Drosophila melanogaster: one gene and its partner. The protein of the gene in region 2 interacts with the protein of the main gene of each other region in a pairwise test. Each region holds a gene or a part of one and is shown on either strand. Other genes may lie near its edges.

What was found.
Region 1: the proteins of Rassf (region 2) and CG6380 interact in a two-hybrid assay, tested with the Drosophila melanogaster proteins (one large-scale study listed by BioGRID).

What each region holds. Positions count from the first base shown.
Region 1 is NT_033779.5:17,290,522-17,293,850, forward strand, and holds CG6380 (uncharacterized protein), read right to left. Parts: upstream 1,682-3,329; 5' UTR 1,588-1,681; coding exon 706-1,587; 3' UTR 554-705; downstream 1-553.
Region 2 is NT_033777.3:23,113,493-23,119,696, forward strand, and holds Rassf (Ras association family member), read right to left. Parts: upstream 4,440-6,204; 5' UTR 4,047-4,439; coding exon 4,007-4,046; intron 3,933-4,006; coding exon 3,838-3,932; intron 3,772-3,837; coding exon 3,589-3,771; intron 3,523-3,588; coding exon 3,334-3,522; intron 3,281-3,333; coding exon 1,860-3,280; intron 1,799-1,859; coding exon 1,472-1,798; intron 1,412-1,471; coding exon 1,307-1,411; intron 1,242-1,306; coding exon 1,181-1,241; 3' UTR 522-1,180; downstream 1-521. Other genes in the region: CenB1A (centaurin beta 1A), read left to right, coding at 5,297-5,349.

The DNA.
Region 1 (3,329 bases), on a different chromosome or scaffold from region 2:
CTACGGCATTTAATGGCTAAATTAAACATTTTGCATAATTATTTCAAGTGATTCTGCAGTTGTAATATCCGAGGAATTATCTTAAAGGGCAGAAATCAGTTTTCTTCACAATTGGAATGGCCAGAGCATGAAATCAGAATGAAAGCGATTGGCCGGAAGGAAAACTCTTCGGTTGCCTAGACTGTCAAAAGGAATTTTCAATCACAAAACAAAATGCCAAAATAAGTTAAACTCTGGCTGTGTATCCTTGTATCTAGCTTCGGCCGAATGATGATTACCGTTAGGACATTGCGTAATTAAATATTCCCCAGACCAGTGAACTTTCGGAAGCAAAGTATTAATAGATGGGGAGCAAATGAAGGTTAGTGGGTTAATCATATCAACATCTCAGCAATTAGCCTGGCCAGTGGTACTTAGAATTTTCCTATAATTTCCTTAGCAACTTAGACGAGGCACGAACAGGAGTGGAATGACCGAAAGTTATTGGACACAATTTTTGTGATTGAGTAATTAAAGATATTTATCCTTGAGTAAAAACCATTAGGCAACATTTGTTAAAAGCTTCTTCTACAAAAGAGTGTAGATAGATGTAGTGTAATAGATACTTTCTGTCAAATGCATACACAAGTTTTAATCCCCAATGGTTTGTTATAATTACAAGTTTCTTTAATATAACTTTGCAATTTTTAACACTACTGAATGATTTCAGCGGGTCTCTTTCTTAGAAGTGCCAGGACGATTATCAGGGTTGGATTTACATATACGAGCAGGAGTAGGCTTCTCGGACGTTATTTTCAGTGAACTCTTGTGTTCATGTAGATTTTGGGTTTGAGTCGGAACAACCGAAGGGTATGGGACGCGAGGCTCGCGACTTGGTTCATCATCGTTGACCGATGGCATTCGATGCAAGTGCGTTAAAGAGGCCAATTCTTCCGGCTCTGCTTTGCTAAAGAGCTCGGCCTTCAGTTTTTGGTAGCAGTGATGGCTGGGGGAGAAACCTGGTTCAGGCTCAGAATGATCTGATATCCTGTATTCGGATTGACTTTCAGAATATGAGTATTTTGTTTGCGTCAAGTTGCTTGCTTCGCCGTCGAGTTGATTGTTTTCACTGCACGCTTCACAAGATTCCATTCCCCCTTCGCAGTGAATATTAAACTCTGAACTGGTCAACTCGGCAAACTCGTCGGCTATAAGACGTCGAGCCAGTGGAACCGAATAGAACTCCTTGTAATGCACTTTTCGCCGCCTCTCAAACTCCATTCTACGCACTTTTTCCTCTACAGACTCGGGAAAGTCCTCATCCGCCGAGGATTCTTCTGAGTCTCCTTCGATGCCAAATGCCGGCATTTCTGACTTTGATGTGTGTCTCAACTTTTCGATCAGGGCATTTGTATCCAACTCCTTTGGCAAATCCTCCTCAAAGACGAAGGGTGTCTTTGGTTCGTCGATGATCATGTGGCCGTAGTCCTTACCAGCCGGGTGGAACGTGGCCAGTATGTTGACCTCATCAAATTTGGCTGCCTTCAGGCTAAATTGCGCACTATTGTTTCCCGACTTCAGGATGCCCTTTACTTGGTCCCCATCCATTCTTGTTTGTAGCTATGTGTAGTTTTGGCCTTTGAAAGGAACTAATTACCGAACTAAAATGTATTAGTGTAAACTTGTGTGTGCCCTATATGGCTTATAATATTTAACTGATAAAATACATTGTCATCGTCAAAAAATATATAAAAATCGTGGGCTCCTTTTCTTGGAAGATTATTGTATAACTTCATTACATTCGCGTACAATTTTTTATTTTATTTTTAATTTATTATCATAAATCTCTCTATGAACTCTGCACTCAAATTACTCTGTTTAACATTTTAAATTGGGATCTAATTATGTAGTAGAAGGTATGCCTGCTTCAAGTCACATATTATCTTCTTATATTCGATTTTAAAATTACTTTATTTATTGTTACCATACATATTAAATTTGTATGTTTACGTATGTTGTTTAAATGCTGCTTAGTGGAGTTTCAAATTCATTGTTACTCCATCATTATTCTCTGGTAAATTAAGCCAAACATGTTTATTAATTATAAATTAAGTCCTTGTCTCCGTATCGAGCAAATACCCAACCCCTAATCTCGGATAATACCAAATCTCCGATCAGACTGTGGACGGATTCACTTTCAAAATATCAAGTGGTTTTCCTGCTGCAATCTCGAAGTAATCCCTGTTGCCATTGCTACTGTTGTTTTTGTGTTGAGGATGTCAAGAACTCGATGTGTTTGTGTGTGGATGAATGTATTCGGTACTCCAATCGAGATACTTCATAATCCGCGGGAGCAGTTTCCAATCGCAGCCATCGAAACCACAAAGTAAACTCATTTTGACGTGTTCAAAATGGGGTTTTGCCGCCCGTTGGATGGAATGATAGGGGGTTTTGTAAAGCGGAGTCAGAGCAAGGCTTCATTATTGATGCGCCATAGTGGAGTTTTTGTTATTGATGTAAACATATTCATCACAAACATGTTACCTCCGATACGGACGAAAACGTGGAAAATGGGGGAAGTGGGGGCGGTAAATCAAGTGATGATAAGAGGCGTGGGGCAACCAATGCAGTTGTGGCAGTTGCAGTTCGCTCTGTGGCAGCTGCCACTTCAAATAACTTCACTGCACACCGTTTTTCCCGCTTTCTCCCGCTTTTCCAAAGGGAAAAGTGAGGGAGTGCCGCATGTGAAGAGGGGCTAGAGGTCACGGAGCGCTGTATTGGGAATTGATTGCAGCACATTATTTCACAATTTTGCCAGCAAATAAACAAGCCTTTGCCGGAGTACGTTCAGATACGAGCCCAGACACCGCGAGAAAAAATGCGTAAAAATATTAAAGCACGATGCCTTTAATATTTTTATATTAATATTAATATATTTTAAGGGGAGAGACAATATTATCAGTTTCCGTTTATCTGATGGAATGACTAATTAGGTATATATTATTCAAAATGTATATTACTAAAAATTATAAGCTAAATCCGTTTTCTCGCTGTGTAGATCCCCGATACGCTTGCACGCATGTGACGAGCGGATGCTTATAAGCACAGTGGATGCGACAAAACAGCAGCATAAAAGTGACGATGACGAGGATATGTCCTCCTTCACTTGTTCCTCCACGCGATGATGACGTTGCGATGTTGTGTCCTGTTGCGAGGTGAAGATGATGATGATCATCAACATCATGATGATGGAGATATAGGCGATGCCGGCAAACAGTCAACAACTGTTTTTCAGCTGCAGTTTTCCTGCCATGTTTGATTGCCTCTCTGTCGGAGACGAAATGCGATGT
Region 2 (6,204 bases):
CGGTCCTGTAGTTGTTGCGGAGTCCCAACCACGTTGTAGCCGGAATGGAGACCCGTAGGCTCTGTCAGTTTCAAATTAATAGCCACGCACACACACTCACTCTGTGCCGCTGTGGGGTGTGCATTTATTATGTGAGTGAGCCAGTGCTTGCCTACTTTCGTCCTCGTCGCTATTTCCGCGCTGCTCCTCCGTCGTTTCTCTATTATAATGGCATCATTGACTTGTGCTTTGATGGCTGCTTTGGCCAGGACAGGGCATCGGTTTGCCCCCACCCTAGTGTGTGTATGTGTGTGTGTGTGTGTGGGGGGGGGGCTAGAGGTCCACCTCCACTTGATCCCCATTTGGGCACGGACGGCTGGCGCCGGTTGCTGCCTTTTTTGAATATTCGGCTCACACTTTCTGCTACTGCTGCCGCCTTTAGGTTCGCCCCTTTGCACTAGGGACGCGTTACTTGCCGGAATTTGTTGGCGACCATGGGGCCTTAAACTCCGCTTGGCTGGTCACCGAAAGAGGCGGCGATTCTGTTGTAAAATTTTCATTTTATTGGATTTCCAAATGATTTTCAATCAACAAGTCCATGTTATGCAATATGAAGTATGTGCACAGTTATTCTTATTGTTTCGCAGGCATTGCGATTTCTAATCAAATTGATTTTCACACATTTGTTCAATGACTCGATAAAATGGCTTTCAACTACACGCTACTAGCAGGACCTGTGCTTCATGTCACGGCTTAAAAGCTAAACATTGTACAATAGATACATGAATGACAACGCTTTTAACGTGACTGCATAAAGCACATACATTGATTATTAACATAAAACAAAAAACTGTATGGTAATGTTGTGGATTAATAATTATTTTTTGGTTAGTTACAAGTCTTAAACGCTTTCTAAACGAATGGAAATGCCTGGAATTGATTGTTAGTTTCGGCTGGGAAGAATCGAACCCTAAACGTAATGTATGTATATGTATTTTGCGACGAGCAGCAGCTGCTTTTTGTTCACTGGGCGCCTAATGTTTGCTAGTTCGTAATTTTCTCTAGATTCTACATAAAAATATATATCTCGTATAAAAACGTGAATACTATTAGCTGTGCTGCTGCCGACACTTCTTTTTTGGCCGCATTCATGTTATGGCTAATAAAAAATTGCTCTTATGCCAGAGGTTTCATTTACGTTTTACAAATGCACTTTCAGAGATTCCATGCGACTGACAATACGACGTCGCAATTCGGCGTATCTGCGGAAAAGTAATTCTCTTTCAATGCAAAGTCTTGGGATGTAAAATTATTTTTTAAAACCCACCTTTCCTTTATTTTGGCCACTTCGCGGGCCAGTTCCTGGTCGTAGCGCTCCAGAATAGCACGGCACTCGGGCAAAGATAAATTCAAAAATTGAGCAACTTCATTACTGCAGCGATGCAAAAGAAACGTAAGCAAACTTCTATTGAAAAGGAGTGTTATAACTTGCCTGATTTCATCAGTTTTGCGAGAATCCACTAAAAATATACGAGCCACATCCTCATGAGGTCCCAAAGTGACGCGCGTTATCAAAGGATATTCGTCGTCCTTGAGACGTTTCTGTTCACCATTGTCGCGAACAATGAAGAGTGAAAAATTGCCAGGCGAACTGTCCACCTTGTATTTCTCCAGCACCAAGTTGATAACCTCAGTGGTGGTCACCATCGAGGAGACCCACACTGACATTTGAGAACCGTAGGGCGGCGTGAAAAACGACGTCTCCCGATTGTAGTAGTGACCATTGATAGAGCACCGACGTTTCAGCTTGGTACGAGAACTATTGATTAAGAAGTTGGAATTACAACACAATTTCTTCATTAAAAGTTTCAGTAACTTACCGACGATTGCCACTTCGTCGCTTGATGGCAGAAGCTCCTGTGCGTGGAGGTCTTCTCAGCACAACTCCATCTTCCGTCACATGCAACCCAGCCGATCCATCTCCGTCTGGACCATCAACGCCCTCGCTTGCAGTGTACAAATCCTCGGTTTGCGTAAGCTCATCGCCGGCCGCTGCACCACTGGTTATGGATGGAGCATCTGCCCGACTTGACTCACCTTCGCTAGCAGCAGCCACATTCTCTTTGGGATAACAGTCCATCTGGATTTGTATGTACCGCTGAGGTATGTCGCTGCGTCGAATGGTGGCCATACGTTGGGGACGCAGCGTGGCCTCGTCGTCGTCATCGCTGTCGGAGTACACAAAACAGCTGGGTCCCGATTTGGAGCGGTTGATGCCCTTTTCGAACAACTGCCGCCCCTGTTGATATGGCTTCTTTTGATCCCTGCTGGTTACTGTGGCCGATCCACTCTTTTGTAAGGCGTACTGACGCTGTGCGGAGTGAGGAGAGCCCACACTACTGCGCAGATTCATGGTGTCGTTGATTAAAGTGGGATCTATTGACCGCAATGCATGCTCACAATTAAAGCTTTTGCTCATCGCTGAATTCTCGCCGTAGAGCTTAAGGGAGTCGTGAATGCGAGAGGGATCAATTGGTTGATTACGCTTAAGGGTGCCCTCATTGGGCTCCGTAAAGGAGTTGGCCCCATTTACATAGTCCTGGTGGACACTACGCTTAAAGTCCTCGAAATCAATAGGCTTCAGGGTAGCGTCATCGCAAGTCTCGAAGTTATCCAGAGAGGTCTCAGTAGTAGACACCGTTGTTGTATTCTGCGTATTGGTGTTGGCAGTCAACGATCCCGTGGCGGTCATAAAATCATCCGTGCTGCTGGTGTTTGTTGATGCCGATTGAGTCGAGCTTGATTCAGTGGTCGTAGTGGTCTCTGTGGATGTTTTGCTGGGCGAACTGTCGCTGGAGGATTGCGACGACGGCAGTTTGACAGGCATAGTTTCATAAATGCGATCCTTGTCGTTGTGACGTCTCTCTACCTGCAGCAGATCGTCTATGTCGTCCCAATCCAGTTTTTCCAGACGGTCCAACTTCGAAGGCAATGTGCTGGACACACAACTTGTGCTGGCAGTAGGAGCCTCCACCAGGGTTCCAGATGAGTCCGTCGTGGTCGTATCCTCGTCGTCGTTGCACACATTACCATTGGTCTGCTCTTTGCTGTTGGCTGTGGTGTTGGCCGAGGCATCTTCTGGGGTTGTGGGCAACTCGGAGATCTCGTTCAGGCTACAGGAGTCGAAGGTCATGCTCTCGGAAAGGGAAACATCCGTGGATAGTTGATCGACCTCGGCTGTGGTGGTGGTGGGCGGAGCCAGCGATTCGCTAGCTTCGTTTTCCTTATCCGAACTGCTTTCCTGTGGGTACAATTGTATAAATAACGTTTTGTTATGTTATAGATTCAGCTTACATTGGCAGCCTTGGACACACGGCAAGAGTTCCTTTTGCGCACTAAGATGCGCTGATCATCGTCCTCCTTGAGATGAATCACTCCCTGCACGCCCCAGTAAACTCTAAGCGCGCCTTCCAGCACCAACCGGTTGTTGACCTCACGACTACGTATCTCCAGGCTTTTGTTGTCGTAGAATTGGTTGTAGACCTGCCCATTAAAAGGGAATTTGGTGAGTCATGAGATATTGATATGTCTGGGTATTGCGTTCTGCACCTTAAGTTTGGACTCCAGGTGATCACGTGGGAGTGGCGGGCCATTGGCCTGAGCTCCGGTTGGCTTCTGGGCTCCCTTCACCCCATAGCTTTTGTGCGATTCCACCCGGGTGCCGTGGCCAAACAACTGGGGTCCAAACAGGGCGCCATAGCAGGGCACATGGCAGTAGGGCACACTTTTGTGCTGAAAGGAAAACAAAAGGCTTTATATAGATCACATGATCGGCTAACTAACAGGTGATCCTCCTACCTCAGCATGCTGGCCGGGATTTAAGCGTTTGCCGCATTCCTCGCAGCGCAAACATTCCGGATGCCAATCGTAGCCGATCGATTGTTTACGTTCCGCTGTGCGGGGCATAAATAAATATAATTTACAAGTTATTTACGGATCGCAATGCGCTCGTGTGTGGGTGCATTACCGAAGTAAACGGGTTTGCCGCACTTGTGGCACTTCCACATTCTGGATTCCAAACAGGTCGGTCTAATGCTTCCTCCGGGAATGGGCGTGTTTCACTCCTCCTCCTCTACTTCGCCGATTTTAAAGAGTTGTGACGTAAAGCCGTCGAGTTGTATGCAAATGAGGCGATTTAAAGCGGACACGAAACGCAAATAGAACGCTGGACAAGGGGTAAACACATGAGGCGAGGGGGGACGTGAGACTCTGATCGGTCAGTCGGTCAGCTGCGCTGGTTGCCGTGCGAAACTCATAGTTTTATAAATGAAACTGGCACTGGGCACTCCCACACTTGGTGCACGGTGCAGGTGCATCGGTTTTCGGTGCGTACTTGTGTGGATAATTGCACTTAAACCAAAACAGCACCAGCAGAAAGAGAACAGAACAATGAAATGAAAAATGGCACTTGTGCAGCACTGGCCGCGGATTCTTGTCGCACAAGGCGGGCACCCTAAAATCCAGCGGTGCTGTCAGCTGATCTGTTTTGTAGCTAGATTTGACTTGGCTGGCGGTAGCTTGAAACGGATTTGCTTGTTTTGGTGTTTAAAATTGTCATCGTTTGTACTTTAAATACATCTACATTGATTATGGCTAGAACCCAAATCTTTTTTGGGCTGTATCTTCTTTTAGGGAATTTAAGTTCCTAATTAGCTTCTTCTTAGCTACAAAAGTTTCCAACACTGATAAACCGTGCTGACAATGTCAATGTGCGTTGTTTTATGCCTTTGAATTGAAATCTTCGTAACTAATCGAGTTTTAAAACGAAAATCAGCACAAGGAAAACACTAAGCATTCAATACATTTAAAATTTTAAAAGATATGAGCAAAAGCAAATAAGCCCGCCAAAGTGTGTGACCATTCGCGCTGCTAGATTTGTTTTCGCTGCGAGTGCGGGCACACCGATCTGCTCTAGTAGAAAGTGAGACGTTTTAATTTGTTGTCTCTGCGCGCTGTGTAAATTTGGTAAATTCGGCCCCGAATCGCGTAAATTGGCGAGTTTCGCTAATTAGGGCCAGTGCTCAACGTGTGTAGCCGTCGATTGCCAAGGATGCGACTAATCACCATATCTCCTGCTGCCCGCAATTAGCTTCTCCCAGAGCCGCCCTCGAAAATCGCGCATCGAAATCCCCACTTCAGCAAGGAAAGCAAAGCAAAGCAGAGCAGCAGCAACAGGCCAACAAAGATTCACGGGCCTCAATTAGCGTAGCGAAATAGCCAGCAGTGCAGTCTAGGTGCTGCTTGCGTGGTGGCCAAAATGCGCGCCACCATCGAGTTCGAGGAGTGCCTGAAGGATTCTCCCAGATTCAGGTGCATATAAGCTGCAGCCCCGCCCCCACTGTGTGCCCATCCTGAGCCGCATTTGGCGTGAGATTCGAATTGCTCCATGTAGCGTGACTGGTTACTATCCAAAACCAGATACAGCCCAACACCGCCCCACCTGCTCCACCTGAAAACGCGGCTTAATCATCCATCGAACAAACTTTGTCCCGTCAGCAGTGTGGAATGTGCCTGCCTGCCCCTTTATTTCCGCAATTAAATTGCCGATGCTCTCGTCTCCGTCCGCGAACGCTTCAATGCCCGCCGCTGATTGATAAGATTTCACCCAAATTGCCGCTTCTCCACTAATCGTGTCCAAAGACAAAAGCTTTCCCTCGTAAAACGGTGCACAAACGCGGCGATAACTTGTTTGCCCAGCAGCCCCATCACATCTTCCCCACTTTTTCGCACCTGCAGCAGCTTCACTTGAAAGAAAACAGGAAATCAAGACTATCTTGGATTCTCCTGCACTTCGGTTCTTTTATCATTTGTGGAAGTGCCAACTTGACCTTGGTGTTTCGAAACCGAAGTACACTACAATAAATTATGTGAATCATATGTGAACTTTTCTGCCATGCATATAAAAAATAAGAAATCTAAGGATCTGTAAAGTAGGACATTTCTATTGCTTCAGAACTAGGCAGATATTATCGCAACCATAGTAAAATGTATCAATGTTATGCATTTTTTTAAACTAGCTTAAACTAGTTTCCAGTTTTAAGTAGAATTAAACGATTTATTTTTTATCAAAAACTTCAACTCATTGTGCATTTGGCTCAATCGTTTGAATGACGAACACATATTTGAAGATATATGAAGCTTTCGAAAGCCATTAGTTTAAAATGA